Callithrix jacchus: one gene and its partners. The protein of the gene in region 3 purifies or fractionates together with the protein of the main gene of each other region. This does not show direct contact. Links are inferred from orthologs where the notes say so. Each region holds a gene or a part of one and is shown on either strand. Other genes may lie near its edges.

Region 1 (4,916 bases), on a different chromosome or scaffold from region 3:
CCTCACGGGTTCAAGCAGTTCTCCTGCCTGAGCCTCCTAAGTACCTGGGATTACAGGCGTGCACCACGACGCCCGGCTAATTTTTGTATTTTTAGTAGAGACGGGGTTTCACCATGTTGGTCAGGCTGGTCTCAAACTCCGTGATCCGCCCATCTCAACCTCCTAAAGTGCTGGGATTACAGGCGTGAGGCACTGCTCCTGGCCACCAGCCGGTGTTCTTATGGACACGTGTGACATGGTAAAAGCCCCATAAAACTGCATACCTCAACCATACCTCGGCTTTCTTTTTTCTTTTTTTGAGACGGAGTTTCGCTCTTGTTACCCAGGCTGGAGTGCAATGGCGTGATCTCGGCTCACTGCAACCTCCGCCTCCTGGGTTCAGGCAATTCTCCTGCCTCAGCCCCGAGCAGCTGGGATCACAGGCACGCGCCACCGTGCCCAGCTAATCTTTTGTATTTTTAGTAGAGACGGGGTTTCACCACGTTGACCAGGATGGTCTCGATCTGTTGACCTTGTGATCCACCCGCCTCGGCCTCCCAAAGTGCTGGGATTACAGGCTTGAGCCACCGCACCCGGCCCACACCTCGGCTTTCTATTGAAACTGCTCTCTGTGACTCAAATGTGACAGGCAAGCAGTCCAAACCCATGCCATCTTGGCCCCTGCGACTTGTAATAAGTAATTAAGGTCTGTAATTTCCACCCTACCCAGACAATGTGTAAACAAATGCTAATCTTGACTTTTGTGAACTACTTAAGTAACAATCAGAATGTCAAAAGTCCTCTGGCCCTCGGAGTGTCCGGAGCCCCTCACCCTCATCTTCGCCTAGGAATCCACTGGAATGTCCAGAGCCCCTCACGCTCATCTCCACCCAGGATGATTCACAGCATCCACTAGCCCTCAGAACGTCTGAAGCCCCTCACCCCCAACCCCCGCCCTTTGTCCTCACTCCCGAGGTGGTTTTACGGGTATAAAAGGTCTTGACACCCTCCTTTGGGGGCCACGGGTTGGAGAGACGCGAGTCCTCGGTGGCCGCCGGCAATAAAGACCCTGCAATTTGGCATACTTTTGTCTTGGTGTTGACTTTCTATGCTCAGGCCAGTACAACAGACGTTGTTCCCCTCGAGGCACATTCCAGTTCCTATAACTAGGATTCCCCCTCAGACACACCATGCCCTCTTCCTTATCCTCGGTGCTTCCCTCGCGATCTACAAACTGCCCCCCGCCCCAGGGTTCACAACGCCTTACGCCTCTTAGGTTCCACCGTCCTCCCACCCCCAGCCTAAAGAATACCTATCTGTTCTGCTTTGGAAATTCACTCTCGCCCGCCAGTCCCCCGGAGCATCGCTTGGGACCCTGTCCCTTTCCCGGGGTTCTATTACCTTTACCCAGAGCAGAGCGTACAGGCGTCAGGACCTCTTGGGACCAGGGGCCCAGTTATCTGAGAAACCTCACGCCCCGTCCACCATTCAGAGTCTCAGCGAGCTCACGCCGCGCAGTCGCAGTTTAAATTTATCTGTAATTCCCGCGCTTTTCCGTTGCCACGGAAACCAGCGGGCTGCCACTGAACAACAGCCTCCTAGAATTCAAGACGCATTACAGGAAGGGCGAGACAGAAAGAGCCAAGCGTCTCTCGGGGCTCTGGATTGGCCACCCAGTCTTCCGCCGAATGGCGTAGAAAGAAAGAGACGGAAAAGGAGGCACTCTTACCTGGGTTTGCCAGAAAGCGCCCGCCCTCTCTCCGCTACGCTAACGCTTGCGGCTTATTACGTCACAGTAATTGCTGTACGAAGGCCAGAATCGCTACCAAAGACCTGAATGTGAGCGCGAGATAGCGTTCAAAGCTGTCGTAAGAGCTTCCGTTCCCCCACTCTTTCCGCTCCAATGGAGGTCTCCTGTTTAGGTAAATAAAAGGATTGTGGTGGCGGGGGGTGGGGGACGGCGATGGAAGAGAACTACAATTTCCACCATGCATTGCGGAATGAAAGGCCTTCGCCACCGTGTTTCTTGAAAACTGTAGTCTTATGGAGCTGACCATCCAATACCGAAGCGGGCACAATTCTCACGGAAATCCAGTGGATAAATTGGAGACCTCCGAGCCCTTATACATGTCAACAGTTATGGATTGGAGTGTTGTTATGTTTTGTATCTTGAGAGCGGAGACTAGGCCAAAAAAAAAGATACGTATAACTCCTAGGAAGACTACAATTCCCATCCAGCCCCACTAGTCCTCTAAGGTTAGTTGCCTGTGGGATCGCAGGGGCTACCGTATTTGCCTGGGGAAGGGGAAATCCGCTCTGACCCACGTCTGCGCACTCGTAGTTCCGCCCCTCGACCCCAATGTTTGTTATTGTTGTTCAGTTACAGGTTGCTTCTGCCCCGCCCCCGTCGATACAATCTCCACCAATCAATGGGGTGGTTGTTTTGAGGGACAAATGGCAAGATCCAATCATCTTGTCGGAAACTCAGAGAACCAGGGGACTAGTTACTGTCTTTATCCGCCATGTTAGATTCACCGCCACAGGGATAGCGGCAGAGCTGGCTGCGGACGGTCCTTGCATTGGCCTCTGGCAGGCGCCCCCCGGGGGCGGGAAGCTGGTAAGGAAGCAGCTGCGGTTACCTAGGAGTGGGGTCACGTCACACTAAGAGGGTTTGGGGAAGTTCAAGAGAGGAATCCTGCAAAGAAGACGGGGCACTTTTTCCGTGTCTCGGGACACCTAATCTTTTTAGTGATTGGATGAGAGAGCCCTTCTTGTTCAGAGGGACCGAGTGGGCGAAAAGCGCTGGAGAGGTGGAGGGTCTGTGGTTCAGAACATCCGGCTTCAACTGGTGGAAGGCCACGACTCCCCCGCAGAAAGAGGGCCTAGGCAAAGAAATTGAGAGGGAGTCCTCGGGGTGGTGACACCGTCTTGGGAACATGGAGTGCTGGGAAACGATAACTGGAAGACTAGGATGAAGTCTGCAAGTAAAAATATGACACTACCCACATATTCTCATCCCATCCTTCTTTTTTCGGGACCCTCTTAAAGCGATCCCTTTGGTTAGGGACCTTCGGTTTTGGAAAGGCACTATTTTTCCTTTTTATCAAACACCCAGCTTTCAGGACACACTTTTTTTATTTTTTATTTTTCTGAGACAGAGTCTCGCAGTGTTGCCCAGGCTGGTCTTGAACCGCTCCTGACCTCAGGTCACACATTTTAAAGCTTCGATAACTTGGCTTGTACAGGCCTCTGGTGGAGACAGTAATCAAAGCTCAGGTTTCCAGGTCTGTTTCATTAAAGGGATTTTGTTGAGGCTGGAAGAAGAAAAAAATCGACGTAGAGGAAAAGCTAACTTGTGTCAAGCAAAGGTGAGTCAGTGGCATGGACTTAAAATAATGCCAGTTACGAAAGCCCTGGGACCCAGCTATCTGTCTTACTGGCTTTAGACCTAAGGGGCAGATGGGGTTAACCATAGCTTTGGTATTTACAGAAGTTCAAGATTAATGTTCTTGTGGAAAGAATCTTTTTACATGTCAGCCAAAGATAGTTTCTTATGAAGACCTGGATATGGTCCAGCTAAGCTAGAATCTCCCACTTCCTGTTTTCTCTTAGTTGGCCGACCAGCTGGAGGAGCTCCAGAGTATCTAAATTAATTTCCAATTGTGTAATTTGAGAAACAGAGGAAGATTCATTTCCTTAAGTGTGTTTCTTGAAGTTAGAAAGTGATATTTCAGAATATCCACTTTTGGCAGACTGAGTCAGTCACTTCATTTCCCTGACTTTTTGCCTAAAGTCCTGGGGAATTGAAAAAAATTCTGCCCAAATCTTAAGGACCCCAAGAATTACATTTCACATGAATGAATACTAGATGTCAGCAGGATGGTTGTTAACACGGTAGTATTGTTTTGGTGGTGAACTTGAGTCTAGGTAGAAACAAAGAATGAAGAAAATTGAAGGATAATCGTCTTAGGGTTTCACAAAAGTGCCTGATCTTCACAGAGTTCAGAGTCCTTAAAATGATAGTCTTAATTGTAGTGTTTTACAGGGCAATGCATTACATTGTGGAAAACAGTACAGGTTTATGGTTTTACAGATTGGTTTATTATTTAAAACCTTTTTTAAATTTAACTTAATTTTTTAAGGAAATGGGGTCTGGCTTTGTTTCCCAGGCTGGTCTTGAACTCCTAGGCTCATGATCCTCCTGCCTCAGCCTCCCAAAGTGCTAGGATTACAGGCAGGAGCCACTACACCTAGCCAATTTTTTCTTTTCATTTTTATTTTTATTTTTGAGACAGAGTCTTGCTCTGTCACCCAGGTGGGAGTGCAGTGGCATGATCTTGGGTCACTGCAACCTTGCCTCCAAGGTTCAAACAATTCTCATGCTTTAGCCTCCTGAGTAGCTGGGATTACAGACCTGTGCAACCACACCCACCTAATTTTTGCTTTTTTAGTAGAGACAGGGTTTCACCACGTTGGCTAGGCTGGTCTCGAACTCCTTGACTCAAGCAATCTGCCTGCCTCTGTCTCCCAAATGCTGGGATTAAAGGCATGAGCCACTGTTCTGCGGATTACCTGAGTCGAGAGTTCGAGACCAGCCTGACCAACATGGAGAAACCCCATCTTTATTTTTAAAAAAATACACTTAGCTGGGCGTGATGGCACATGCCGGTAATCCCAGCAACTTGGGAGGCTGAGACAGGAGACTCGCTGGAACCCGGGGGGCAGAGGTTACGGTGAGCCAAGTTCATGCCATTGTAGTGGAGTCTGGGCAACAAGAGTGAAACTCAGTCTCAAAAAAAAAGAATTGTGAATTTCTTAGATATGCTAATGGTATCTAGACTTTTTTAAAAAATTCTTATCTTTTAGAGGTACATACTCAATTATTGATGGATAAAAGGATGGATGTCTGGCAAAATAATCTAGTAAGGAAAAAAGAG
Region 2 (5,047 bases), on a different chromosome or scaffold from region 3:
AAAAGTCCTGAAACCATTGTTTCATATATTTAGTCCATTTCTTCTTTTTTTTTTGAAATTAAGGTGAGAGGGTCCTTGTTAGTCTATCTTGGCCATGTAAGTGGAAATCCCAATAATCAGTTCTGAGCTAACTTTGCAAGCCTATTTCATCGGTTTCTCTTTCACTGACTTTGGTCTCTCCTATACTACTCTGAACCAGCTTTTACCATCTTGCTGTTAACTTCATTATTAAATACATTTTTGACACAGGCTCACCATATGTTTTTAACTTAAAAATGTATTTTAACAAAATACTTTGAAGACTTATGATCCTCTAAAATTCAGCTCAGACAAACCTATTTCAGGATTCTGTATCTGATCTCAAGATGGTCCATCACTATATCTCCCTGAATAGTATCTCTACTTTGGTACTGCTGTACTTAAGCCTCATGGCAAATAATTTTTGCGTCTGTACTACTGCAAACCCATGAAAATGGGAGCGTGTTCCAGCACAGTGTCTGGCATAAAGCAGAATGTCACTGAATATTTTCTAAATGAATAAAACACAGAAAAAATTCTAACTCTCTGCTTCTTAAGTATGATACTCAGCTCTGTGACAAAGAGTATACAAAGATGCAGGACAAACATGGCAGATGTTCTTGGAAAATATACATCACTGTTACTATACCAGTATCAGGAAATATTACAAAACTTCCTAGAGTTTTAAATACAAAGTACACAAATATTTGGATGTCTCAAGCCACATCCTCTTTTGGTTATACCCCTACACGTCTATAGTTTCCTTTGCCTCTAAATCTAAAAGGTAGGTTTGAATGAGGAATATTTGCATGAAAAATCAGCTTGAGAAGTATAGCCTAACCAAAGGAATTAATCCAACAAGGTGAAAATTTCAGGCACTGTGTCTTGCAGTATGAAGTTAACAAGCAGAGGCAGGAGCTGGGAAAAGGGTACCAGGTAAGGGCTAAGGTTAGGTTTTCTCTAAGTTTTTGCAACTCTTTCCGCTTCAGTTATGCTATCGCTCTCTGTTAAAAAATAATTATTGATAGTTTTGGCTGGGCGTGGTGGCTCATGTCTATAATCCCAACACTTTGGGAGGCTGAGGCTGGTGGATCACTTGAGGTCAGGAGTTCAAGACCAGTCTGGCCGACATGGCGAAACCCCATCTCCACTAAAAATACAAAAAATTAGCCGCGTGTGGTAGCGCATGCCTGTAATCCCAGTTACTAGGGTGGCTGAGGCGAGAGAATCTCTTGAACCCAGGAGGCAGAGGCTGCAGTAAGCTGAGATCTCACCCCTGCATTCCAGCCTGGGTGACAGAGTAAGACTCTGTCTCAAAAAAAAAAAAAAAAAATTGATAGTTTTAATTTTTTAGTATTTGAATTTTCCTGGAGAAAAGGAAATGTATTATGTTTTCAACAAGAAAAAACAATTTAAAAATTGCAGTATTTTGGAGAGTATAAAGTGTAGGAAGCAGAAATCCTAGAGAAACCAGGTTATTATTCAGACACTTAAAATAACTGGTAGCATCAGTTACAGATAAAACAACAGTTCTGAATTTATCTGCATTTCCAACAACTGTTTTGAAAGGAAAAATGAATAAAGTTTATTATCAGCAACATTAAAAATTTAGGCAAAGTTAAAACCCAATTTAACCTTTGTTTTCTGTAATACATAACATTAATCTGTTTTCAATAGCTTAGAGACATATTTATTTTGAAATAGAAAATTTAATTCACAATCATGTATAGTATCACAAATATAAAGTGTTTGTAATTCAGTAAGAATGGCTATTTTCCCATGTATACAACGGTTTATAAAATTACTCTGCACCTCATTTTCAGCAAGGACAGAGATATATATATTTAGTAATTATAAATCTAGACAACATAATTGTATTGTGCTTATCTTAGTCTGTTTGTATTGCTGTAAAGAAGTACCCCAGGCTGAGTCATTTATAAAGAAAAGAGGTTTATTTGGCTCATGGTTCTACAAGCTGTACATGAAGCAGTGTGAGAATCTGCAATGGCCTCCAGCTGCCTCCACTCATGGTGGGAGAGGAGCCAGTGTGTGAGGGAGGGTGGGTGTGGGGAAGACAGACAGACAGGTAGGTAGGTAGGTAGATAAAATAGATAGATACATAGAGAGGAGGAGAGCCAGGTACTAGCTAGGTAGGTAGATAGAGAGGATAGATAGATAGATAGATAGATAGATAGATAGATAGATAGACAGATAGATATAGAGGAGGAGAGCCAGGCTCTTTTCAACAACCAGTTCTGTCAGAAACTGAGTGAAAACTCACTCATTCTTGGGAGAAAGACATTGAGCCATTCATGAGATCCCTACCTCTCGCCCCTCAAACTGGCCCCTCCAACTGGCCCCTCCCAGCCCTGCTCCCACCCCCTGATCCAAACACCTCTCACCAGGCCCCATCTCCAACAATGCAGATCAAATTTTGACAAGAGACTTGGTGGGGCCAAACAAACCCCATCCAAACCACAGCCTTCCACTCCTCGCTTCTCAAATCTGATGTCCTTCTCACATTCAAAATACAATTATTCCATCCCAATAGTCCCCAAGTCTTGTTTTGTTCCAGCACCAACTTAAAAGTCCAAAGTCTCATCTGAGACTCAAGGCAAGTTCCTTAAAGCTATAAGCCTATAAAATAAAAAACAAAGTTATTTACTTCCAAGATACAATGATGGAACAGTCATTGGATACATGCTGTTTTCCAAAGGAAGAAATTGGCCAAGAGAAGGGTGAGAGGCCCCATGAGACTCAGAAACCCATCAGGGCAGACATTAAGCTTAAAGTTCCCAAACCTGCTTTGAGCATGTCCTGCATCCTGGGCACAGTGGTGTGAGGGGTGGGCTCCCAAGGCTTTGGGCAGTCCCAGCCCCATGGCTTTCCTGGGTGCAGCTCATGCGGCTGCTCTCATGAGTTGGAGTCAAATGCCTGTGGCTTTTCCAGGATGAAAGTGCATACTGCCAGTGGCTCTGCAATTCTGTGGTCCCCATGGCAACCTTGTTCCCATAGCTCTACTAGTTAACACTCCAGTGGAGACTTTCCATCAGAGCTCCAACACCACATTTCTGCTTGGCACTGTCCTAGCAGAATATTTCTGTGACACCCAGGCCTTCTGATACACCCTCTAAAATCTAGGTGGGAGCTGCCAAGCCTCTGCCACTCTTGTATTCTGTGTCCTGCAACACACAGAATCTGCAAAGGCGACAGCTTGCAGCCTGAGCAGTACCTGGAGCCCTCTGAAACAGAGCTGGAGCTGGAGCAACCAGGATGCAGGGAGCACGTTCCAAGGTGGCACACAACAGTTGCACCCAAGGCTTTGACCATGGAAACCATTCTTGGTCTTCTAGGCTTCTGGACTTGTGATGAGAGGGACAGCTTAGGAGATTTCGGAAATGTCTTGAGGGACTTTTCCCCATTGTCTTGGCTATTAGCACCTGGCTCCCTTTTATCTGAACTAACTGGATTCTTCTGAAAATGCTCTTTCCTTCTTTACACAAGGCCAGGCTGCAAGTATTTCCATATTTTTATGCTCTGCTTTACTTTTAATTATAAATTCCAACTTCAGGTCATTTCTTTCCTCCCATATTTGATTGTGAGCTATTCAAAGCAGCCGTGCCACTTCTTGAACTCTCTGCTGCTTAGATATTTCTTATACCAGATACTCTAGGTCATAACTTAAGTTTGGCCTTCCACAAAGCCCTAGGGCATGGAGGCAATGCAGCCAAGTTCTTTGCTACAGTGTAACAACGGTGATGTTTGCTCAAGTTCTCAGTAAGACCCCGTTTCCACCTTAGCTCTCCTCAGCATGGCCTTTACTGTCTCTATTTCTATCAGCACAATCACTTAACCAATCTCTAAGACATTCCAAACATTCTTTTATCTTCTTGTTTTTTGAGTCCTCCAAGCTCTTTCAGCCTCTGCCCATTACCCAGTTCCAAAGCTGCTTCCGAGTCTCTTTATATCAACATCCCACTCTTAAGTACCAATTTTCTGCCTTAGGTGCTTCCACTCAAGACAGAAGGGGAGCCAGCATATGCAGATCACATGGTGAAGGAAGGAAAAAGGGAAGGGAGGAAGGGAGGGGGAGAGGGAGACAGAGAGCGAGTGGGGAGAGAGAGGGAGAGAGAGAGAAAAAGTGAGTGAGGAGGTGCCAGGTTCTTTTCAACAACAAATTCTCAGTGAACTAAGAGTGAGAGCTCACTGGCTCTCGGGAGAAGGGCACTGGGCCATTCATGAGGCATCCACCACCAGGATCCAAACACCTCCCACCAGGATTCACCTCTAACACTGGGGATCAAATTTCAACATGAGGCTTGGTGGGGCAAAGTGCTTTTGTTGATTAACGAGGGAAGTCAGGATGAAGAAATACAGTGTTAATTTGAGTTTTAAAGACTGTAAATAAGCAGAAACACTGGCTGGGTGCCCTGGCTCATGCCTGTAATCCCAGCACTTTAGGAGGCCAAGGTGGGTGAATTGTTTGAGTCCAGGAGTTTGAGACCCGCCTGGGCAACATGGTGAAACTCTGTCTCTACAAAAGAATATAAAAATTAGCTGGGCATAGGGCACAAGCCTGTAGTCCCAGCTACTTGGGGGCTGAGGTAGGAGGATCACTTGAACCTGGGAGGTTAAGGCTACAGTGAGCAATTGTGCCACTGCACTCCAGCCTGGGTGACAAAGTGAGACTGTGTCAGAAAAAAGGTGGGGGCAGAGCAGCAATACACCCTGTAAACCTTTACTTCAAAACCAGAAACTATAAATGAGACTCTAGTAAAAGACCCTTAAAAACTGAATGTTGAAAAAAAAATCCAGGTATTACAGTTTCTCATTTCTACATAATATGGTAGAAAATATGTATTATTTGGCACTCTATTTAAAGTACATTCTAACAAACATAAATCAATATCTAAAAAGACATTAAAAACCTCACTGCTTTCCCTTTAAACTCCAACTAGTAATATTCTGTTTCTAGTAAAGAAACAAAAATTGAAATACCTTACAATTGCTATTATTTATTCTGGTAGAT
Region 3 (4,244 bases):
CTTGCAGACCTTCAGGGTCAAGGTCAGGCCCATGTTTCTAGGCTTCACGTGACCTTGGGCCAAGTACTCTGTCTTTGAGAAAACGGGACTCTTGACACTCTCAGGATGGCCATGAGGAATAGAAGTACTGGGAGGTTGGTGGCCCTACTCGCCTAGCCCTGATACTCCCGTCATTTCCCCTCAGATGTTTGGTCAGCTGGCTGTGTATTGGCGGAGCTCCTCCTGGGCCAGCCCATCTTCCCTGGGGACAGTGGGGTGGACCAGCTCGTGGAGATCATCAAGGTGAGGGGTGGGGCTGGGGTAGGCAGGGGGTGGGGCTGAGGGGTGGGGCCCTTGTCTCAGACCCCTCCCTCTTTTTACAGGTGCTGGGAACACCAACCCGGGAACAAATCCGAGAGATGAACCCCAACTACACGGAGTTCAAGTTCCCTCAGATTAAAGCTCACCCCTGGACAAAGGTGGGGCAGGGCTCGGGGCTTAGGGCAGCATGGCTGAGAGCCATTCCCCCTTGGAGGTCAAGTGTTCTGTGGACCTGGCTTAGGAGGATTTGAGAGTTATCCAGGGATCAGTAACTTCCATGCAATTTCAAAGTTTATGGCATCTTAAAAGTCGAGAACTCTCAAGTAAATTCAAGATTCTAATTATTATGGAGGGGAAAAAGCTCACAGCAGGGCTCATACAGTCCGGACCTGGGCTGGCTGCTCACCCGATACAAACTACTTTCCATAGTGGTTGGGCCTCAGTTTCTCCATTTGGAAGGTGGGGGAGTGGGAAGTAGCCAGTCATACTTGCCACAGGCACTGTGGCAGTGAGATAACAGGAGTATGCTAGTGACCAGGTCATTTCACCCTCATGACCCCTGCACCCATTCCCCAGGTGTTTAAATCTCGAACGCCGCCGGAGGCCATCGCGCTTTGCTCCAGCCTGCTGGAGTACACCCCGTCCTCAAGGCTCTCCCCACTAGAGGCCTGCGCCCACAGCTTCTTTGATGAACTACGATGTCTGGGAACCCAGCTCCCTAACAACCGCCCACTTCCCCCTCTCTTCAACTTCAGTGCTGGTGGTGAGGGCATAGCCTGGGATCTGGGGAGCAGGGCGGGGGCAGTCAAAGATTGTTAAGAGCTTGGTGTTGAAGCAGGAATGGGGACCTAAGGGTAGGGTACAAGGTGGGGGAGGGGCTCAGGAAAGATGACCCCTGGATTCAGGGGTAATCGAACCTGTTTCAGTTATGCTCTACTATGATTTGCTTCGTGCTAGGCCTTTTCTGGTTTTTCACTGAGAGAGGCCTGTGGCTGAAAGTGTCCACAAACAACTGGCCTTGCCAATAGCTGGGTTCCCATTTGGTGCCCATCATAACCCTGCTGTAGGCTACCCTGACTGGCATGTCAATTGCTGTTTCTAGAACTCTCCATCCAACCATCTCTCAACGCCATTCTCATCCCTCCTCACTTGAGGTCCCCAGCGGGCACTACCACCCTCACCCAGTCCTCACAAGGTAAGTGGGGGCCATCTGCTGGGGGTTAAAGCATTTCTCCATCTGGGAAGTGTGAAGCTGTTCTCTCAGTCCTGGGTTTCCTGAATGTATTTTTAAATCGTTGAAATCTTGATGGCATACAAAGCACATCTTAAACATGTGAATGACCATCTTTAAAGGGCATTCTTGTGCACATTTGTGTTTAAATGCCAGTGGGAAAGCCAGAGAAATAATGTTTGGCCTGAACAAACAGAACGTTGAATTTGTTGCCCAGGTGTTCTTTTTTTTTTTGGAGACAGAGTTTCCCTCTTGTTGCCCAGGCTGGATTGCAGTGGCTTGATCTCAGCTAACTGCAATCTCTGCCTCCTGGGCTCAGGTGATTTTCCTGCCTCAGCTTCTAAGTAGCTGGAATTACAGGTGCACGCCAACACGCCTGGCTGATTTTTGTATCTTTAGTAGAGATGAGGTTTCACCATGTTGGCCAGACTGGTCTTGAACTCCTGACCTTAGGTGATCTCCCACCTTAGCCTCCCAAAGTGCTGGGATTACAGGTGTGAGCCACTACTCCTGGCTATGTTGCCCAGGTTTAAAAATAGGGGCCATTTTATGTAAAAATTCAGATTTCCTGTTTCTCTCGGGGAAGAAAAAAATCAGATTGAGTAGCAGTGGGCCCACCCATCCTTCTGACAGTAGACAGTGGGGGCTGGATTCCAGCTGCTCCCCACCCCCTTTTGAGATGGGTCCAGCCTCAGCTGGAGCACGGTGGCACAGTCTTGGCTCACTGCAACTTCCTTCTCCTTGGCTCAAGTGATTCTCCTGCCTTAGCATCCTGAGGAGATGGTATTACAGGTGCACACCACCCTGCCCAGCTAATTTTTGTATTTTTAATAAGAGATGGGGTTGCACCATGTTGGCCAGGCTGGTTTGGAACTCTTGACCTCAAGTGATCTGCCCACCTCGGACTCCCAAAATGCTGGGATTACAGGTGTGAGCCACCGTTCCCGACCCAGCTGCCCCCTTATATGGAGCCTGGCACTCTGGTGTATGACTCAGTTACCATCCTGGCCCTTTGGCACTCAAGTTTGCAACCCTTGACCTAAAGTGACAGCTTTAAACTTTTAATGCAGCATCTATAACAAGAGAATTCCTATTCTTCGATTGGGGGAAGGGGTGTCTGAAAGGCAAAGGCTAATTCTCTGCTCCTTCCCTCCCTCCCTCCCTCCCTCCCTCCAGCTTTAACTGAGACTACAACCAGCTCAGACTGGCAGTCAACCGATGCCACACCTACCCTCACTAACTCGTCCTGAGAGCCCCACCAACCACCCTTCCACTTCCATCTGGGAGCCCCAAGAGGGGCTGGGAAGGGGGGCCATAGCCCATCAAGCTCCTGCCCTGGCTGGGCCCCTAGACTAGAGGGCAGAGGTAAATGAGTCCCTGTCCCCACCTCCAGTCCCTCCCTCACCAGCCTCACTCCTGTGGTGGGCTTTTTAAGAGGATTTTAACTGGTTGTGGGGAGGGAAAGAAGGACAGGGTGTTGGGGGGATGAGGACCTCCTACCCCCTTGACCCCTCCCCTCCCCCAGGTCTCCACCTCCTCCAAACCCCCTCCCCTCCTGTTTCCCTTGTAAATAGAACCAGCCCAGCCCCTGTCTCCTCTTCCCTTCCCTGGCCCCTGGGTGTAAATAGATTGTTATAATTTTTTTCTTAAAGAAAACGTCGATTCGCACCGTCCAACCTGGCCCCGCCCCCTCCTACAGCTGTAACTCCCCTCCTGTCCTCTGCCCCCAAGGTCTTCTCCCTCCTCACCCCACCCTGGAGGGCCAGAGGAGTGGAGAGAGCTCCTGATGTCTTAGTTTCCACAGTAAGGTTTGCCTGTGTACAGACCTCCGTTCAATAAATTATTGGCATGAAAACTTGCTTTCTGTCTGGCTGCCTATTTCCACTGAGGTGGTGGGGGCTCCCAGGTGGACTGTTCCAGGACAGGCGTGAGCTGCGTCTCAGGTAGGGCTGTCCAAAGGCCTCACACGGTGGCTTTCTCAGCATGTGTGGTGATGAGCTTCGTCTGGCTTATCTGCTCTAGAGGCCTGGGAGGAGCCTGCCCCATGACCCAGCATAAATTATCTGCTTCTGCTTAGGGAGGGTGGGATTAACCTCCCAGAAATGGTGAGTGAATCGGGGATCAGAGAAGCGAAGGCCATGGAGCTTAAGAGACAGTCAGGACTTGAACAATAGACTGTCTTAGCCCAAGCTGCCTGCTACTCTAGGGTCTAGGGGGACATGAGGTGATGAGGAGTTACTCAGGCCAAAACTTAGCCTGCTTGTAGACTCTTTTGTTGGGTGGCCATGGCTGGAGGCAGAACCCTAGAAGATTCCAAGCCTTCATTTCCAAGTCTTAAACAGGGCACCTACCTGGTCCACCTCTTAAGGATGTTGGGAAGTGACAACTCTGGAAAGGTTGGGGCAGAGAGCTTGACTTTTACCCACACTTAACACATGCTGGGGCCAGATGGTGAGGCATGGGTGGAAGGAAATGTTATCTTCTCTACATGGCACCAGCAGTGAGTGTGGCCAGGATGCCCCAGAGGTGGAAGGGGGCCTGGGGAGGAACACTGGGTATGCCCCCTACTGGATTCCATTGGTGAACAAAAAAGGAGTTTCAAATGTTCCAGATGGAGTGAAGCGACTATTTGGGTGGAGTGTGGGCTCTCCAGTCTGCTTGCCCCACTCGAGGGGCATCTTTACACTACCTGGGATAGGACAGACCCTGTCCC
Region 4 (4,403 bases), on a different chromosome or scaffold from region 3:
GCATGTTTGGAGCTCGAGTTATCTGTGCAGAGCCGAGTGGGGAAATTTACCGAAATTGGTTTCACCTGCACTCAGCCTAGCGGCTGGGAGTGCGCCTCTTTGGAGTTGACGGTTTCGGGGGAGGGGAAGGGAGGGGAGGCGAGGCTCCGGGTGAGCTACCCCAGCGTGCGCCCTGGCGGAGTGGGTTTTGGGAAGGTTGTGTCTTACACCTCCGATGTCCCCCTGCCGCCCCCAGCCCTTGCCCTCCTCTCACCTTCCCCTCCTCTTTCCCAGCAGCTCCCTTCCATCCCCAACCCCGAAAAGTGTGCAGGGAGCTCAGATTTCGCTTTTGAAAAGCAGCGTCTGATACTTTAGATGACCACCTCGCAGATAGCTGGGTTGCTTGATTTGAATTTGAGGGGTTGAAAAGCCTGTTTACTTTCTAGCTTTGATGTTGGGTAGATCTGGTTTTGATTAGATCAATACCCTTTTCTCTCTCCCCACCTCCCCGCTTCCTTTTCTTTCCAGAGAGGAGGCTCAGATGAGCCCCTGCTGACTTGAGAGAGACAGACAGACCACGCCGATTGCTGAGAGGAACTGGAAGAAGAAGAAAAAATTCCCAAACTCAGTGGGAAGAGCTCCCTCACCATGAGTAGTGCTGTGTTGGTGACTCGCCTCCCGGACCCCAGCAGCAGCTTCCGTGAGGATGCCCCGCGGCCCCCAGTGCCAGGGGAAGAAGGGGAGACCCCACCGTGTCAGCCAGGGGTGGGCAAGAGCCAGGTCACCAAACCCATGCCTGTCTCTTCCAACACCAGGCGGAACGAAGATGGGCTGGGGGAGCCAGAGGGGCGAGCATCCCCTGATTCCCCTCTGACTAGGTGGACCAAGTCCTTGCACTCCTTGTTGGGCGATCAAGACGGTGCTTACCTCTTCCGGACTTTCCTGGAGAGGGAGAAATGCGTGGATACCTTAGACTTCTGGTTTGCCTGCAATGGATTCAGGCAGATGAACCTGAAGGATACCAAAACTTTACGAGTAGCCAAAGCGATCTACAAAAGGTACATTGAAAACAACAGCATTGTCTCCAAGCAGCTGAAGCCTGCCACCAAGACCTACATAAGAGACGGTATCAAGAAGCAGCAGATTGATTCCATCATGTTTGACCAGGCGCAGACCGAGATCCAGTCGGTGATGGAGGAAAATGCCTACCAGATGTTTTTGACTTCTGATATATACCTCGAATATGTAAGGAGTGGGGGAGAAAACACAACTTACATGAGTAACGGGGGACTGGGGAGCCTCAAGGTCGTGTGTGGCTATCTCCCCACCTTGAACGAAGAAGAGGAGTGGACTTGTGCTGACTTCAAGTGCAAACTTTCGCCAACTGTGGTTGGTTTGTCCAGCAAAACTCTGAGGGCCACAGCAAGTGTGAGGTCCACGGAAACAGTTGACAGTGGATACAGGTAAGACCTGGACAGGGGCTGGTGGGGCGGGTGGGCAGTTGATGTGAACTTTGCAGATGTTTTGAGTTAAGTCCGATGGATGGATGGATGGGTGTGCTGCAGAGACTGACAGAGGGTTGTTGAGAGCTGGGACTGCTGGCCATGAACCCTTTTTGATCTTGCTTTTTGTTGTTTAAAGAGGGGAAGAGTGATGCACACATCTAAATACCTGCAGTCTTTCAGTGCTGACATCAAACAGTGGCAAGCAGTATACACTAATGTGGGTTACTTATTATCCCGGGCTAGTGTCTCAGAAGGGGTTGAGAAAGAGAGAGAGAGCGAGCGCTCGAGAGGGAGCAGCTTTTGATGCCTCTGAGTCACCAGATCCACTAAGCACCGGTTTTGGAAGGGGTCACTTCACCACTAATCAGTAGAGGGTGGAATTAATGTGGCTAGGAAGGCAACTGGGTTGTGGTGGAGGCGCAGGCGCGGGAAATAACGTGTGCACCCATTGAGGGGTAAGTGGGTTTTTTTTTTTTTTTTTTTTTTTTGAGCTTTTCTGTTAAGAGCCAGCGATTGGCTTAACTGAGCTTGTGGTTCCCTTTGTAGAATTAGATATTTACCCAGCAAGAAAGGCCTCTAACTAGGGAAGGTCCTGTGATTTTCCTAAATGAAGGACCCTTGGCTCTAGAGCCTGCTGGTATATTAATCCAGGTTTTAAATGCACATGAGTCGGAGGGGCAGACTTCAGTTGATTATTTTGTTAGTGCTGATGGAGAAGAGATCTTGGCCCGGGAGCACTGGGGCTCTGGAGTACGTTCTCTTTGAGGCTTCAAAGACAAATAGTTCTTTGCAGAATGGCCAAGTCTTAAGATTCTTGACCTTTGGAGGCAACTTCAGACCTCTTGTTAGAATGATTTTTTCTGTTTTCTTCCCTTCTCCCTATTTCCAAGTATCCAAAAGGAGAATGAGCCTCTTAATTCTGGGGTGTGGTTTATGACAGGACAGGGGATGGGACTTCACTTAACTGCTATCTGAAGGGTTTATCTTGCCGTCTGTGTGGATTTCTCTGTGTGTTAGGGGCCCAGGATGCGATCTAATAGCTGCCTCTGGATTTCCCTTTCTCTGTAGGGTGTGGTCTCTAGTTTCCAGCAGCAGGAAGAGAGGTGGGCACCAGATGGTTGATCTGGAGCCACTCAGGGTAGCCGGGTCTGAGCCTAGCAGGCCAGGATTTAGGGGCGAGTTGACTGCTGGTGAGGAGGGGAAGGGCTTATTCTTCAACCACCAGGGGGCGCACTTATGGCTTGGGAACCAGTTTTACTCAGCCATCTGGTCTACACTTAAGTGGAACGAGGTTGACTTTTGCAAGGAAGCACAGGGTACCAGGGAGTTGTTTCGGCATCTTTATGCTTATGGAGTCAGGTTATTTGGGAGGAAGATCCTGGGTCTGGCCTCTGCAGCAGGTCAGTCGCTGGGCACCTGCTATGGGTGCGCGCACTATTATGAGAACACTTGGGTGAACCTCTGGCACTGACCCCCTTGCCCTCTAGCCTGGCAGCCAGAGCCAAGACTGCTGAAGGGTCATGGTAAAGGCTGCTTCGCTGGGGGCCTCTTGATTGGGGCTTCTGTGTTTCCCATTGTGGGGACTGGAGTGTCACCTTAGTAGATAGCACAGTGTGTGGTTTTGGACACCCTCCCCAGGCAGGGCTCTGCTGTGAACCCTCCCCTTTGTGGGTGAGCAGTTGAGACCCATCCTGGGCTTGCCTCACTGGGATATGACCAGGATTCAGCTCCTGAAGCTTTTGAGATCCAGAAGCTCCTGTCTTCCAGGGCTGCCTTGTTGGCTGTGAACTCTTTATCATTGATAAAGAGGTGACAGCTTGTCATTGACCTGAGAGTTTCCATGCTAGATTCACGTGTGCCTTCTCCCACCTTAGGGATGAGATGAAGCATCTTATGGACTCATGTGTCTTAACTCATGTGTCTTAACTGGACATATTTAAAGAGAATTTTACGACAGAGCCAGATGATCTAGCTTCATTTTAACGTGCAAGACATTCGAGGGTGTACAGAGTATATTGAAAGGTCTGCTGAGTTATTCAAGGGTTTGCGTTCCAGCCTGGTCCACTTTGTGTTGAAGCCTTCTGAACCACATGTGCCTATCTGTAAAATGGGTGGGCCCCGTTGCTTCTGTCTGTATCAGAGGATTGTTGTTACTAGGACCAAAATAATAAACATGAAAGCCTTTTGTAAAGAGAAATGTTGTGAACAGCTGCTAAGTGTTATAATTAGTATAATTAATAATGTTAATGTAAAAAGGGCAACCACATTGGGATGTCACCTTTGAAAGGGCGACTCTTGGCTTAGCCTAGTTTTCATTGTAATGTTATAGAGTGGCCCCCTGTCCCCCATGCCTCAACTTCCTTTTTAAACTGCGGTCTTTTTCCAGATAGTTCTTAGAATGTAGGGATCCCATCTAAGGTTTTTAAATTCACTCCTTCCCTCCTGCACACATTAACTCATCCTGCAGAGTACCTGGTATCTGGGATGGGTTTAATAAGTTAGTAAAATGAATGAAACAGAAACGTGAGTCCTGCTGAGGAGGGTCTTTCTTCACCGGCTGCTTCCAGCCAGATGCCCAGGGCACTGGCCAGCCTTGCAAGCTCTGTGTTTACCGTGGGCACTCAAAGGAGCCTCGTTTTTAACAACTTGTTTGTGTCCTTACTGATTTGGTGTCAGGTTTAATATAAATAGTTGGGGCGGAAGAGCAGGAATTATCCTCAGAGGGCAGGACTCTGGGCTGAGTGGTTGAGGGGGATGCCTGGGCTTTTGACGCTCTCTATAAATAACCTAGAGCAAAAGCCACTTGTTGGTAGGACACATGTAAAAACCCTGGCACACAAACACACGCACAGTGTCGAGGTGTGTGTGTGAGGGGGTTGTGGGATTAGGCGCTGGGCCTCACATTTATTTTGGGGAGGG
Region 5 (4,839 bases), on a different chromosome or scaffold from region 3:
TTCAGAATAGTTAATGGGGGAGAAAAATAAACAAGACAGAAAGCCAGAGAGAGACGAAAATGGGAAAAATACTGATGCCGGGACAGCACGTTTCTAAGGAGACCCAGCTCCGGATTCCTGCCTCATGCCTGAGAAATGCACACAATACATTATCCAAAGGCTCCTGGATGGACACCCAAACTGCAATGCAGCCCCACCCTGAAGCAAAGACGACTCCTTCCTAGAAGTGAAAGATGAGTCACCATAAATAGGACATTTAGTTAAATTTTAAAAAAAATTTTAATGGAATGTCCTATTGTCCCTGTGGCAGAGGCTGCCGAAAATGTCTCTGGTGTCAAATGCTAAAAATGGGGTAGTAAGGGGAGACTTGGCTGGATTACCAGCTGTCTTTATCCTGTGCAGACAGGAGCATTCCTGATCTCCTGAAAGTTATAATTAAACTATAATTGAAGAGGAACATTCAAACTTAAGAGTGTATCTGTCCAAATCATCTCTCTTACACAAGAAACCTAACAGGGTGGCCTCTGGAGAACCAGATGGAGAGGTGAGAAGAAAGAGGATCTTTATCTTTTTCATTTCATATCCTTTTGGTATTTAAATTTGTTCATTAAGTGCACATTTACTACTTCTATAATTTAAAGCAATCTAGGCAGGGCATGGTGGCTCCACCTGTAACCCCAACACTTTGGGAGGCCAAGACAGGTGGATCACTTGAGGTCAGGAGTTCCAGACCAGCCAGGCCAACATGGTGAAACCCTGTCGCTACTAAAAATACAAAAGTTAGCCAGGCATGGTGGTGTACACTTGTAATCCCAGCTACTCAGGAGGCTGAGGCAGGAGAATTGCCTGAACCCAGGAGGCAGAGATTGCGGTGAGCCAAGATCGCACCATTGCACTCCAGCCTGGGTAACAAGAGCAAAACTACATCTCAAAAAAAAAAAAAAAAAAATTTAAAGCAATCTAAATTGTTGGCATCTACCAGTATGTCTTGCCATCAGTTCATCTGCTAACTTTCCTAGAGTCTACTTTTCTCATTTCTCCAGGCCCTGGGGGGGCTATGCGGTGATGAAAGCTCTACGGACACAATCTCACCTTTTACAAGTTCACAAGTTTGAAAAGAAAATCTAGATCTTGCTCCTTGGGGGAAGAATGCAGGGAGACAAAAGTTAAGATGCCAGCAATATTGGAAAAATCAAGTATTGTTCCAGCTTCATATTGCTGTAGAGAATATACTACTAGGGCCAGGCACAGTGGCTCACACCTATCATTCCAGCACTCTGGGAAGCCAAACCAGAGGGATTGCTTGAGTCCAGGAGTTCGAGACCAGACTGGGCAACATGGCGAGGCCGTGTCTCTACAAAAATACAAAAAATTAGCCCTGCGTGGTGGCACATGCCTATAGTCGAAGCTTTAATGGGAGGCTGAGGTGGGAGGATCAATTGAGCCTGGGGGGTGATCACACTACTGCACTCCAGCCAGGGCAACAGAGTGAGACCCTGGCTCAAAATAAATAAATAAACAAACAAATACAGAATAAAAATAGAGAATATACTATTAACCTGGGGGTGGGGGAGGCTCTGGAGGATACGTGCTGGAGAGTAGATGCATGCAAAGAAATAGCATTTGGTGAGGTTTCAGGTCCAAGTGCTCTTTACCAAATGGTGGAACAGAGACCAGTCATTTGTGTTACCTGGGGGGGGGGGGGGGGAATCTAAGTGCTTAGCACTTAGAACAGTGCCACAAAACTCTACATTAGTCCTCCAATAAGTGCCCTGTGGTGGAATCAGAGGTAACTAAAAGGGACTGCTTCCAAATGGCCTCATGCATTGAAATAATTTCCCCAAATTTGTTTTCCCAAGGAAAATGTGTAATTGGTGTTAAAATGGACCATCTCCCCAATTCAACATGAAGACAATTCATTTTATTCCAGTAGATATGTCTGTAGCAGGAATTAACTGACTTTCAGGATTTGTTAAGGACCAGAATCTGGGCCAGGCACGATGGCTCACGCCCGTAATCCCAGCACTTTGGGAGGTCACGGAAGGCGGATCATGAGGTCAGGAGTTTGAGACCAGTCTGGACAACATGGTGAAATTCCGTCTCTACTAAAAATACAAAAATTAGCCGGGCGGGGTGGCACATGCCTGTAATTCCAACTACTCAAGAGGCTGAGGCAGGAGAATCACTTGAACTCGGGAAGCAGAGGTTGCAGTGAGCCAAGATTGTGCCATTGCACTCCAGCCTGAGTGACAGATTGAGACTCTTGTCTCAAACAAACAAACAAACAAACAAACAAACAGAATCTGTCCCCCAGGAGAATTTGTAGAGTTTAAGATATCTAAAAAGGAAAGCTCAGCCAGCCATCTGTCTGGGTTTCTTCAGGGCAGAATAACTCAAAGTAGAGGGGCCCGGTGACCTCCTGGATCCTCTCTCTGGTTAGCTTTTTGCTGCTAACTGGGATAACAGCCTAATGCCTCATGACGGCTCAGCTGGGTGAGTCCAGCTGGCTCAGAGAGCACCACGCATAAGCCACAAAGCAGTCAGTAGTCATATTTATGGTTTTGATTGCAAACACTCTTTGTGCTTATCCCTTCCAAGTGGAGAATTTTTATGTCATTTCTGTGTGTTAAGGCCAAGGGAGAAACCTGGAGGCAAAGGAATGCTGGTTGTGGGTCAAGAAATATGCTTGATGGATTCTGTATGTTTGGCTTAAAAACACTGACTTAAAGTAAAATACCACGACCACTTCTAACCTAGAAATGAGTTCAGCCCGCCAGACAGAAACTGCCATTCAGAGGAAATAAAGCCACGAGCATCGGTTCCCTCCACACCCCCGAGGTTCACCTGGAGGCCAGTGGGCCAAGCGAGGCCTTAGGAGCGGAGAACTGAAAGAGGGGCGGGGAGTAAAGAATAAACACACCTCGCGGGGCTCGGCTGGCGGCGGCACAGTCCTGGTCCTTTTGACGGAACTGACCAAGACGACAGCAAGCAGAGGCTCAAATGCAGGACTCAGACCCAAGACTTCTCCCCGCTCTCGGGCGGACCCCCAAGGCGGGGCGCCAAAAACCGGGAGACTGAGCAAGCAGCATTCTCACGCTCGTAAGCTGGCTTCTCGCTCCTCATGCCCCAAATCTGATCGGGCCCCAACCCCCCTCCCCACAACATAGTGTTCCCTCCACACGGACCGTCGAGGCTCCCCCAGATCCCACGTCTCCGTCCTTCCTGGACCCCGTGCTCCATTCCTTACAGTCACAGACAGGGATCGGTTACCTGCAGAGCAGCTCGACAACCCTGCAGGTAGTCCTCCATGATGAAGCCCAAAGTACGCCGTCGCCCCAGATCGAGGAGCGGTTCCCCGGCGAATGCACCCCGCCCGGGACTCAGGGGCTAAAGACCAGAGTCAGGAGGCGGGACTCGAACCCGCCACACGGCGAATCGGCCTCCGACCCCGGGAGGAAGTGCGTAAGCGGGCACTCCCGAGCCCGGCGTCGCCCCGCCCCCAGCGGAGGCGGGGCTCTACGCCCAGAGGCTCCTGGGACGTCTTTCCGGAGAGGCCAAGGGGGCGTGGCGCTGGTCGTCGTGGGAAAGGTTGTCTCGCAGCTCCGCAATGGCCCTAGCAAGCGAGGGAAGGAGAGTTTTCTGAGGGATCAGTCGTTTGACAAACAAATGTGGATGTGTCACAGCGACCCATTGTTGTGGCGTCTGAACTTACCCTCTCAGATCGGGCTAAGTATAACATCTTTCCATATATCTCACCGAGCATCTGGTTGACATTTTAAGTGACACTTGGCAAAACAGATATTCATCTTCTTTCTGGAAATTCTCTCCTTAACCGAACTGACTCAGTCGCCACCAGTTTTGTGGTTGTTCATGTTTGCAGAACATTAGAATAATCTTTGATCCCTCTTGTTTGCTTAATACCTGCAGTGTCCTGCCAACTCTTGCTGCTTCTTCCTTTGCTACTCTGTAGCCTGTTTTTTTTTTTTCCTACTGCCTCGTTAAATATCTTCTCCTTCCTTTCTTGGACGGTTGTAACCTTGGCTTTTTGCTCTCTGCCTCCCTAATTGTTCCAACTGCTCTTTCAGCCTTCAGAGTGGCTTGAAGTTTCATCCTGTGGCAGTCCTGTCCATAGAGTCTAGGGAACCCTTCAGAATGCAGAGTTAGGTTCCAACCTCCCTTAACCGCCACTTTCCAGCCGCAGGGTAGTGCAGGTACTGCAAATAAATGGAAGCTCAAGGTCAAATATTCCCTCGTTTATTTATCTGTCCCTATATTTCCTACCATCAACCTCACACCAGCTTTTCCTGCTTCCCCAGCTGTAAATTGAGGGGAGGTGACTGATGAAAAGCTGAGGCCTGCGGTGGAACCAAGATCCAGGGCACAGGGGTGTTGGATCTCCTGCCTGTTCTACGAGTTCTTTCCCTGCTGTGCGCTCTTCCCATAGCCTGGGGCTTCTTCCACACCCTCTGCGCTCTACCAGGTGCACAACCCAACCAGTTTTTTCTAGACTTAAAAAAAGATACGGCAAGGACTTGAAAAGGAGCCCTCTGGAGGGCTCCAGAGGGAAAAGAGCTGGGTTGTTTTTTCTTTAATTTAACATAACTCATTAACATTGAGTAATATATGCAAATATCGTGCTCTTTTGTCCTGTTTCTGTGGATCTGGAGCAAAGGACTGCCATACCCAGAGAGAAACCTCAGATCCAACAAGCTGCTTCTGTCCAGCCCGGCTCCTCCCCACTCAGCAAGGGCACTTGCTCTTCCCTATTCTCACCAGAGAGGCACAAGCGCTCCGTCCCTTCCAGAGGCTGGCGGAGGGAAGAGAAAGGGTCTGTTGTTT
Region 6 (4,877 bases), on a different chromosome or scaffold from region 3:
CTCCCATTGTGAGCAGTTCCCTAATCAAGAGCTGCCCCAGCCTTAAGGGCCACCCTGTGGAACAAGTGCACTTAATGGCCACAGTAGAAAGAACAAAAAAAAAAAAAAAGCCTCCCAGTCTGCAGTGACTGGCTGATCTGATGTCCTTTGCTAATAGAGGCAGCTTTATAACACATCTCCATCACTGACTAGTAATCCAAAAGGCTCCGAGGTTTTAACGAATGGGATTGGTCCAAAACCTGACCTCACTTTCATTTAATTTCATGCCAGCACCAATACACACCCAGCTGCGGAGACCTTGTCTAGCTAGTGAGCTGCTCAGACACAAAGGCGCTCTAATTACCATCCGCAAGCCAGGCTGACAGGGCTTTCAAGTGTTTTCATGTTTATGGAGATCAGAGAAATGTGTTCTGTACATCTTTTTCACCAATGGCAAGTATAAAATAAAACCAAACAAAAAACCCAACGCATTTATTCAAAGCAGGCATTTCAGTTAAGTTAAAATCCTATAATCAGGACAGCCACAACTCCAGACACTCCGGTGCGAAGTGTAGATATGTCAGTAGCCACATCTGGATGATGAACAAGCCATTGACTATAAAACTAGAACAACAGCACAGTCCCAGCGCCTTCAATGAGCGAACGGTATGTTCCAAGCACTTCACCATGGTTCGCAACGGCAAAGCCTGCAGCTTCTCCATTTGGAGGGTCACATTTTCTACTCGGTTTCCTGCACTTACAAAGGCCAGCTGGCATGACTGGGGGAGGGGCAGAGGGAGGAAATCAACTCCGTCTATCCAGGGAATTGCAGCTGTTACTGCAAATGGCCCCGGAGAGCCCATTATAAGCTGCTGTGCTAGGCTGTGTGTCCCTGGAGTGCCCATCACATGACGAATCCCTAGCCCCCAACCCAGGCCCCCAGGATCCCTGCGCCACCGAATGAGTAGGACAGCAGAGCCGAGGGGGAGAGGAGGAACCCAGGACTCCGTCTAGCGAGTTTCCGTGAAAGCCGGGGCCTCGGCCAGGGGCGGTGGTCGCCCAGGGAAGCACAGGCGCCCAGCACGTCCGCGCTTTCCCACACCCGCGGTGGCGGCGGCGCGCGTGTCCTCAGGAGACTCCAGCACTTGCAAAATACTGCGCTCTTCTCCGAACACGGGCAGAACCCGGCTACTCTGCCCCGCAACCCAGTGCGTGCCCAGGAAACAGTGACCTTGAACCCTCGGAGAGGCAGGCCGGCTGTGAAAATACACTTTAGAGAGGGCGTGGGGTTTACCCCGCGCCTCATTCTACCCTTCCACCACCATTCAGCACCCCCCGCCCCCACCTCCTGTCCGCACCTGTGTGGTACAGCCTTCCCTCCCACTCTGAGAAAGGCAGACAATTGCAAAGAGAGGGCGGGGGTTACTCCTATTCAATCCCCAAAGGGTCCCTTCATGGCACCGGCTATTTGATATTAAGCAGCACCTCCAAAGACACAAGATGTTTTTTTTTTTAAGTGTCGAAAATATTCAAGTCCGGCAGATTGGGGTGCACCCTGAAATTATCCACTCATGTTTTCCTCCCACAAAGTGGACCAGGAGCCAGCTCTGAAAAGGTGAAAGCAAGTAACTGGCATCTCATCCTCCGTGGTTCCAGCGCACCGCGATCCCGAGAAGCGTGGGCTGTGGCCACATGGTCGCCGGCTGGAGGGCACTGAGAGGCTGCACAGAACTGCAGGCTCCGCGGCCAGGTCGGGTCACGCCAAATAAGGAGTTCTACTGACTTTTAAGCTTGGGGTGCACTCTGTAAAATCTGCCTTAAATAGGGCCAAGTCCTGCATTCCAAATATTTTGGCCTTCGACCCCAGTGTCCCGTGAAACATTCGCGATTTTTCGGTCCCTCATCATTAGCTTTTTTTCTCTCGCTTCCAAAAGCCAGAGTTCTCCATCAGCCTGAGCAGAACTGCAGCCCTCAGGGGAACCCCTTGCCCTCCAGTATGAGGCTGGCGCTGTGACCACCCCAGGCGTGTTAGCTGCCAGGGACAAGAACGCCGTCGCCAGTTCTGGGCTGCGCCCTCCCGGACGCGCCTGGGTCACTGCAGGCCGCGCGAGGGCTGCGAGGCGAAGGGGGTTCATGCACCGGGGCCGACAGCGGTCCCAGGAGCGGGCGTTGAGGAAGCTTTGCACGTAACTGCAGCCGTCGAGAATGAAGCCTCCGCACGGCCTCCTTGATGAGGTTTCCAGAGAGCACTAGCTGCTGTAGGAGCCGGTGCGGGTCGTCGTCGCCTGTGCGGGTTTCGGGTTGGGACCCGCGTCGCTGCTGCAGGCGGCGGGAGGCGGCGGCGCCCCGGAGCCATCCTCGCCGGCACGGACCCGACAGCGGCTGTGGGACGCCCTGCTTGCCAGCCCCCGGAGGCCCATCAAGGTCGGCCTGAGGGGGCAGTGGGGACAGCGCGCTGGGGCCTGCCGCGAGCTCCGCCACGCAGTAGGGCGCAGCGCGGCCCCGCACGCGGCCGCGGTCCCCCAGGGTGCTGCGCAGGGCCCCAAGGGGCGCCGGGCCCACTGTCTCCATCGACACCGGCGGCAGCAGCAGCGGCACTGCCGGGGGCCGGGCCTTGTCCGCCCGCACCGCTGCAGCCAGGGGCCCCGGGGCTCGCAGCGGCGCCCCCGGGGGCGCGCACGGCGAGGCCGGGCTGTCCTGCGCCGGGTCCAGTTGCAGCGTCTCGCCGATCTGGGCCACCAGCCGGTCCACCTCGCCCGAGCCGCCCAGCGCCACCGACTGCTCCAGCAGGAGGAAGCTGTCCTCCTCCTCTTCCTCCCCCTCCGCCTCCTCGCCGGCTTCCTCTTCCTCCTCCCTCCGGCAGGGCATGGCCCCCTGTCCGGGCACCCGGAGCTGTGCGGGCGTCGCTGGAGGCTTAGCTGCCCGTGGGCGCGGTGGGCCGCGGCAGAGCGGGCGCGGGGCTGAGGCCGAAGCCCGGGCCGGGGCGGACACGGAAGCCGGAGCCCGCCAGGCACTCGAGCCGCGCGCCTGCCGCCGCGGGAGCCGGAATCCTGCCGGCTCGAGTTGATTTGTAAACAATGGGTGACGTCGTGCCGGGCCCTACCACCGCGCCGGGGCAGGGGTGCTGTGCCGCTGTGGGGCGGAGCTCCTGCGGAACTAGGGGTCTGGGTGAAGCAGGGCTGCCGTCTTCGCTCCTTCGCTAAGGGTGCTGTCTGGAGGGGCGCCCTGGGGACCTGATCCTGGCTCCCGCAGTAGGGCGCTGTTGGCATTTCCAGAAATGGACACCAGCGTGGACCCCGTTGGTTTCTTCCACACACAAGCACATACACTAACACACACACACCCACCCACACACCCCTTCTCTCCTTGCGTCAACTTAACCGGTTTTTAGCGTTTGCGCTTTTGAGGTCCAGCAGGCGGGCATCTGGAGAGGATGGAAAGGAAGAGGAGTTAGGCTAGAGATTTGTACGGAGATTATAGAGAAACGAAGCTGACAGGAATGGAAAGGAAGAAGGGGACCTTGTCGTGCAATGGGGGTGGCAGAGTTGGAAATGGCAAAGAAAGGCCACAGATGACTGTTTCTTGATAGAGATCCTGGGCGATGGGGGCCTGGACTGGGGTTGGCGTTGCTGGAGAGGAGAAAAGGAAGTTGCCAGTCTTTTTTTTTTTTTTTTGGAGGAGCCTCGCTCTGTTAACCAGGCTGGAGTGCAGTGGCACGATCGCCAGTCACTATAACCTCTACCTCCTGTGTTCAAGCAATTCTCCTGCTTCAGCCTCCCGCGTAGCTGGGATTACAGGCGCCCACCACAAGCCGGACTAATTTTTGTATTTTTAGTAGAGACGGGGTTTCCCCATGTTGGCCAGGCTGGCTTTGAACTTCTGACCTCAGGTGATCCACCCACTTCAGCCTCCCAAAGTGCTGGGATTACGGGTGTGAGCCACCGCGCCCGGCCTAGGTTACTAGTCTTTTTTGTTTGTTTGTTGAATGAAGTTTCATTTTTTTTGCCCAGGCTGGAGTGCAATGACACGATCTTGGCTCACTGTAACCTCTGCCTCCTGGGTTCAAACTCTTCTCCAGTCTCCCAAGTAGCTGGGATTACAGGCACCTGCCACCATGCCCAGCTAATTTTTGTATTTTTAGTAGAGACAGGGTTTCACCATGTTGGCCAGCCTGTTCTCGAACTCCTGACCTCAGGTGATCCGCCGCCTTGGCCTCCCAAAATGCTGGGATTACAGGCATGAGCCACCAGGCCTGATCTATTTAAATGTTTAAAATTAAAATAATTAGTAGCAGTTTACAATTTGTGCTTTTTAAATCTCTGTTTCACAACCTGTAAGCCTCATACATTATTTATTTATTTATTTTTGAGACGGAGTTTCACTCTTGTTACCCAGGCTGGAGTGCAATGGCGCGATCTCGGCTCACCGCAACCTCCGCCTCCTGGGTTCAGGCAATTCTCCTGCCTCAGCCTCCCGATTAGCTGGGATTACAGGCACACGTCACCATGCCCAGCTAATTTTTTTGGTATTTTTAGTAGAGATGGGGTTTCACCATGTTGACCAGGATGGTCTCGATCTCTTGACCTTGTGATCCACCTGCCTCAGCCTCCCAAAGTGCTGGGATTATAGGCGTGAGCCATCGTGCCCGGCCCAAGCCTCATACATTATTGTGGGCATCAAAAATGGTACAACCACTTTGGAAAGTCTAGCAGTTTCTTATAAAATGAAACATATGCTTGTACTGGAAAACAGTTCCAATCCTGTATACTTAGCTAAGAGAAATAAACACATGGGCCCACATCAAGGCCTACAGGGAGGTGATATTAGCAGATTTTTTTTTAAATTGAGACAGGGTCTCCCTCAGCTGGGCGCAGTGACTCAACCCTGTAATCCCAGCA

Evidence for each region.
Region 1: the proteins of GSK3A (region 3) and NBR1 purify together in Homo sapiens (affinity purification with western blotting; 3 studies listed by BioGRID and IntAct, with this or other methods). This does not show direct contact. The link is inferred for Callithrix jacchus from reciprocal best matches to the Homo sapiens genes GSK3A and NBR1.
Region 2: the proteins of GSK3A (region 3) and GSKIP purify together in Homo sapiens (affinity purification with mass spectrometry; 7 studies listed by BioGRID and IntAct, with this or other methods). This does not show direct contact. The link is inferred for Callithrix jacchus from reciprocal best matches to the Homo sapiens genes GSK3A and GSKIP.
Region 4: the proteins of GSK3A (region 3) and AXIN2 purify together in Homo sapiens (affinity purification with mass spectrometry; 3 studies listed by BioGRID and IntAct, with this or other methods). This does not show direct contact. The link is inferred for Callithrix jacchus from reciprocal best matches to the Homo sapiens genes GSK3A and AXIN2.
Region 5: the proteins of GSK3A (region 3) and PRUNE1 purify together in Homo sapiens (affinity purification with mass spectrometry; 3 studies listed by BioGRID and IntAct, with this or other methods). This does not show direct contact. The link is inferred for Callithrix jacchus from reciprocal best matches to the Homo sapiens genes GSK3A and PRUNE1.
Region 6: the proteins of GSK3A (region 3) and FRAT1 purify together in Homo sapiens (affinity purification with mass spectrometry; 4 studies listed by BioGRID and IntAct, with this or other methods). This does not show direct contact. The link is inferred for Callithrix jacchus from reciprocal best matches to the Homo sapiens genes GSK3A and FRAT1.

What each region holds. Positions count from the first base shown.
Region 1 is NC_133506.1:120,771,289-120,776,204, reverse strand, and holds the start of NBR1 (next to BRCA1 gene 1 protein), read left to right. Parts: upstream 1-1,771; 5' UTR 1,772-1,901; exon of another isoform or gene 1,902-2,235; intron 2,236-2,485; exon of another isoform or gene 2,486-3,251; coding exon of another isoform or gene 3,252-3,293; exon of another isoform or gene 3,294-3,347; intron 3,348-4,916. Other genes in the region: uncharacterized protein LOC144582689, read right to left, coding at 3,252-3,293. UniProt on the Homo sapiens protein: Ubiquitin-binding autophagy adapter that participates in different processes including host defense or intracellular homeostasis.
Region 2 is NC_133509.1:131,198,294-131,203,340, reverse strand, and holds the start of GSKIP (GSK3B-interacting protein), read right to left. Parts: upstream 2,990-5,047; 5' UTR 2,900-2,989; coding exon 2,820-2,899; intron 1-2,819. UniProt on the Homo sapiens protein: A-kinase anchoring protein for GSK3B and PKA that regulates or facilitates their kinase activity towards their targets.
Region 3 is NC_133523.1:37,258,769-37,263,012, reverse strand, and holds the end of GSK3A (glycogen synthase kinase-3 alpha), read left to right. Parts: intron 1-184; coding exon 185-282; intron 283-362; coding exon 363-458; intron 459-876; coding exon 877-1,063; intron 1,064-1,402; coding exon 1,403-1,495; intron 1,496-2,707; coding exon 2,708-2,781; 3' UTR 2,782-3,386; downstream 3,387-4,244. UniProt on the Homo sapiens protein: Constitutively active protein kinase that acts as a negative regulator in the hormonal control of glucose homeostasis, Wnt signaling and regulation of transcription factors and microtubules, by phosphorylating and inactivating glycogen synthase (GYS1 or GYS2), CTNNB1/beta-catenin, APC and AXIN1.
Region 4 is NC_133506.1:123,779,609-123,784,011, forward strand, and holds part of AXIN2 (axin-2), read left to right. Parts: intron 1-507; 5' UTR 508-627; coding exon 628-1,442; intron 1,443-4,403. UniProt on the Homo sapiens protein: Inhibitor of the Wnt signaling pathway. Down-regulates beta-catenin. Probably facilitate the phosphorylation of beta-catenin and APC by GSK3B.
Region 5 is NC_133519.1:10,905,909-10,910,747, reverse strand, and holds the start of PRUNE1 (exopolyphosphatase PRUNE1), read right to left. Parts: upstream 3,451-4,839; 5' UTR 3,310-3,450; coding exon 3,271-3,309; exon of another isoform or gene 2,921-3,270; intron 1-2,920. UniProt on the Homo sapiens protein: Phosphodiesterase (PDE) that has higher activity toward cAMP than cGMP, as substrate. Plays a role in cell proliferation, migration and differentiation, and acts as a negative regulator of NME1. Plays a role in the regulation of neurogenesis.
Region 6 is NC_133513.1:90,145,895-90,150,771, reverse strand, and holds FRAT1 (proto-oncogene FRAT1), read right to left. Parts: upstream 3,024-4,877; 5' UTR 2,848-3,023; coding exon 2,008-2,847; 3' UTR 456-2,007; downstream 1-455. UniProt on the Homo sapiens protein: Positively regulates the Wnt signaling pathway by stabilizing beta-catenin through the association with GSK-3. May play a role in tumor progression and collaborate with PIM1 and MYC in lymphomagenesis.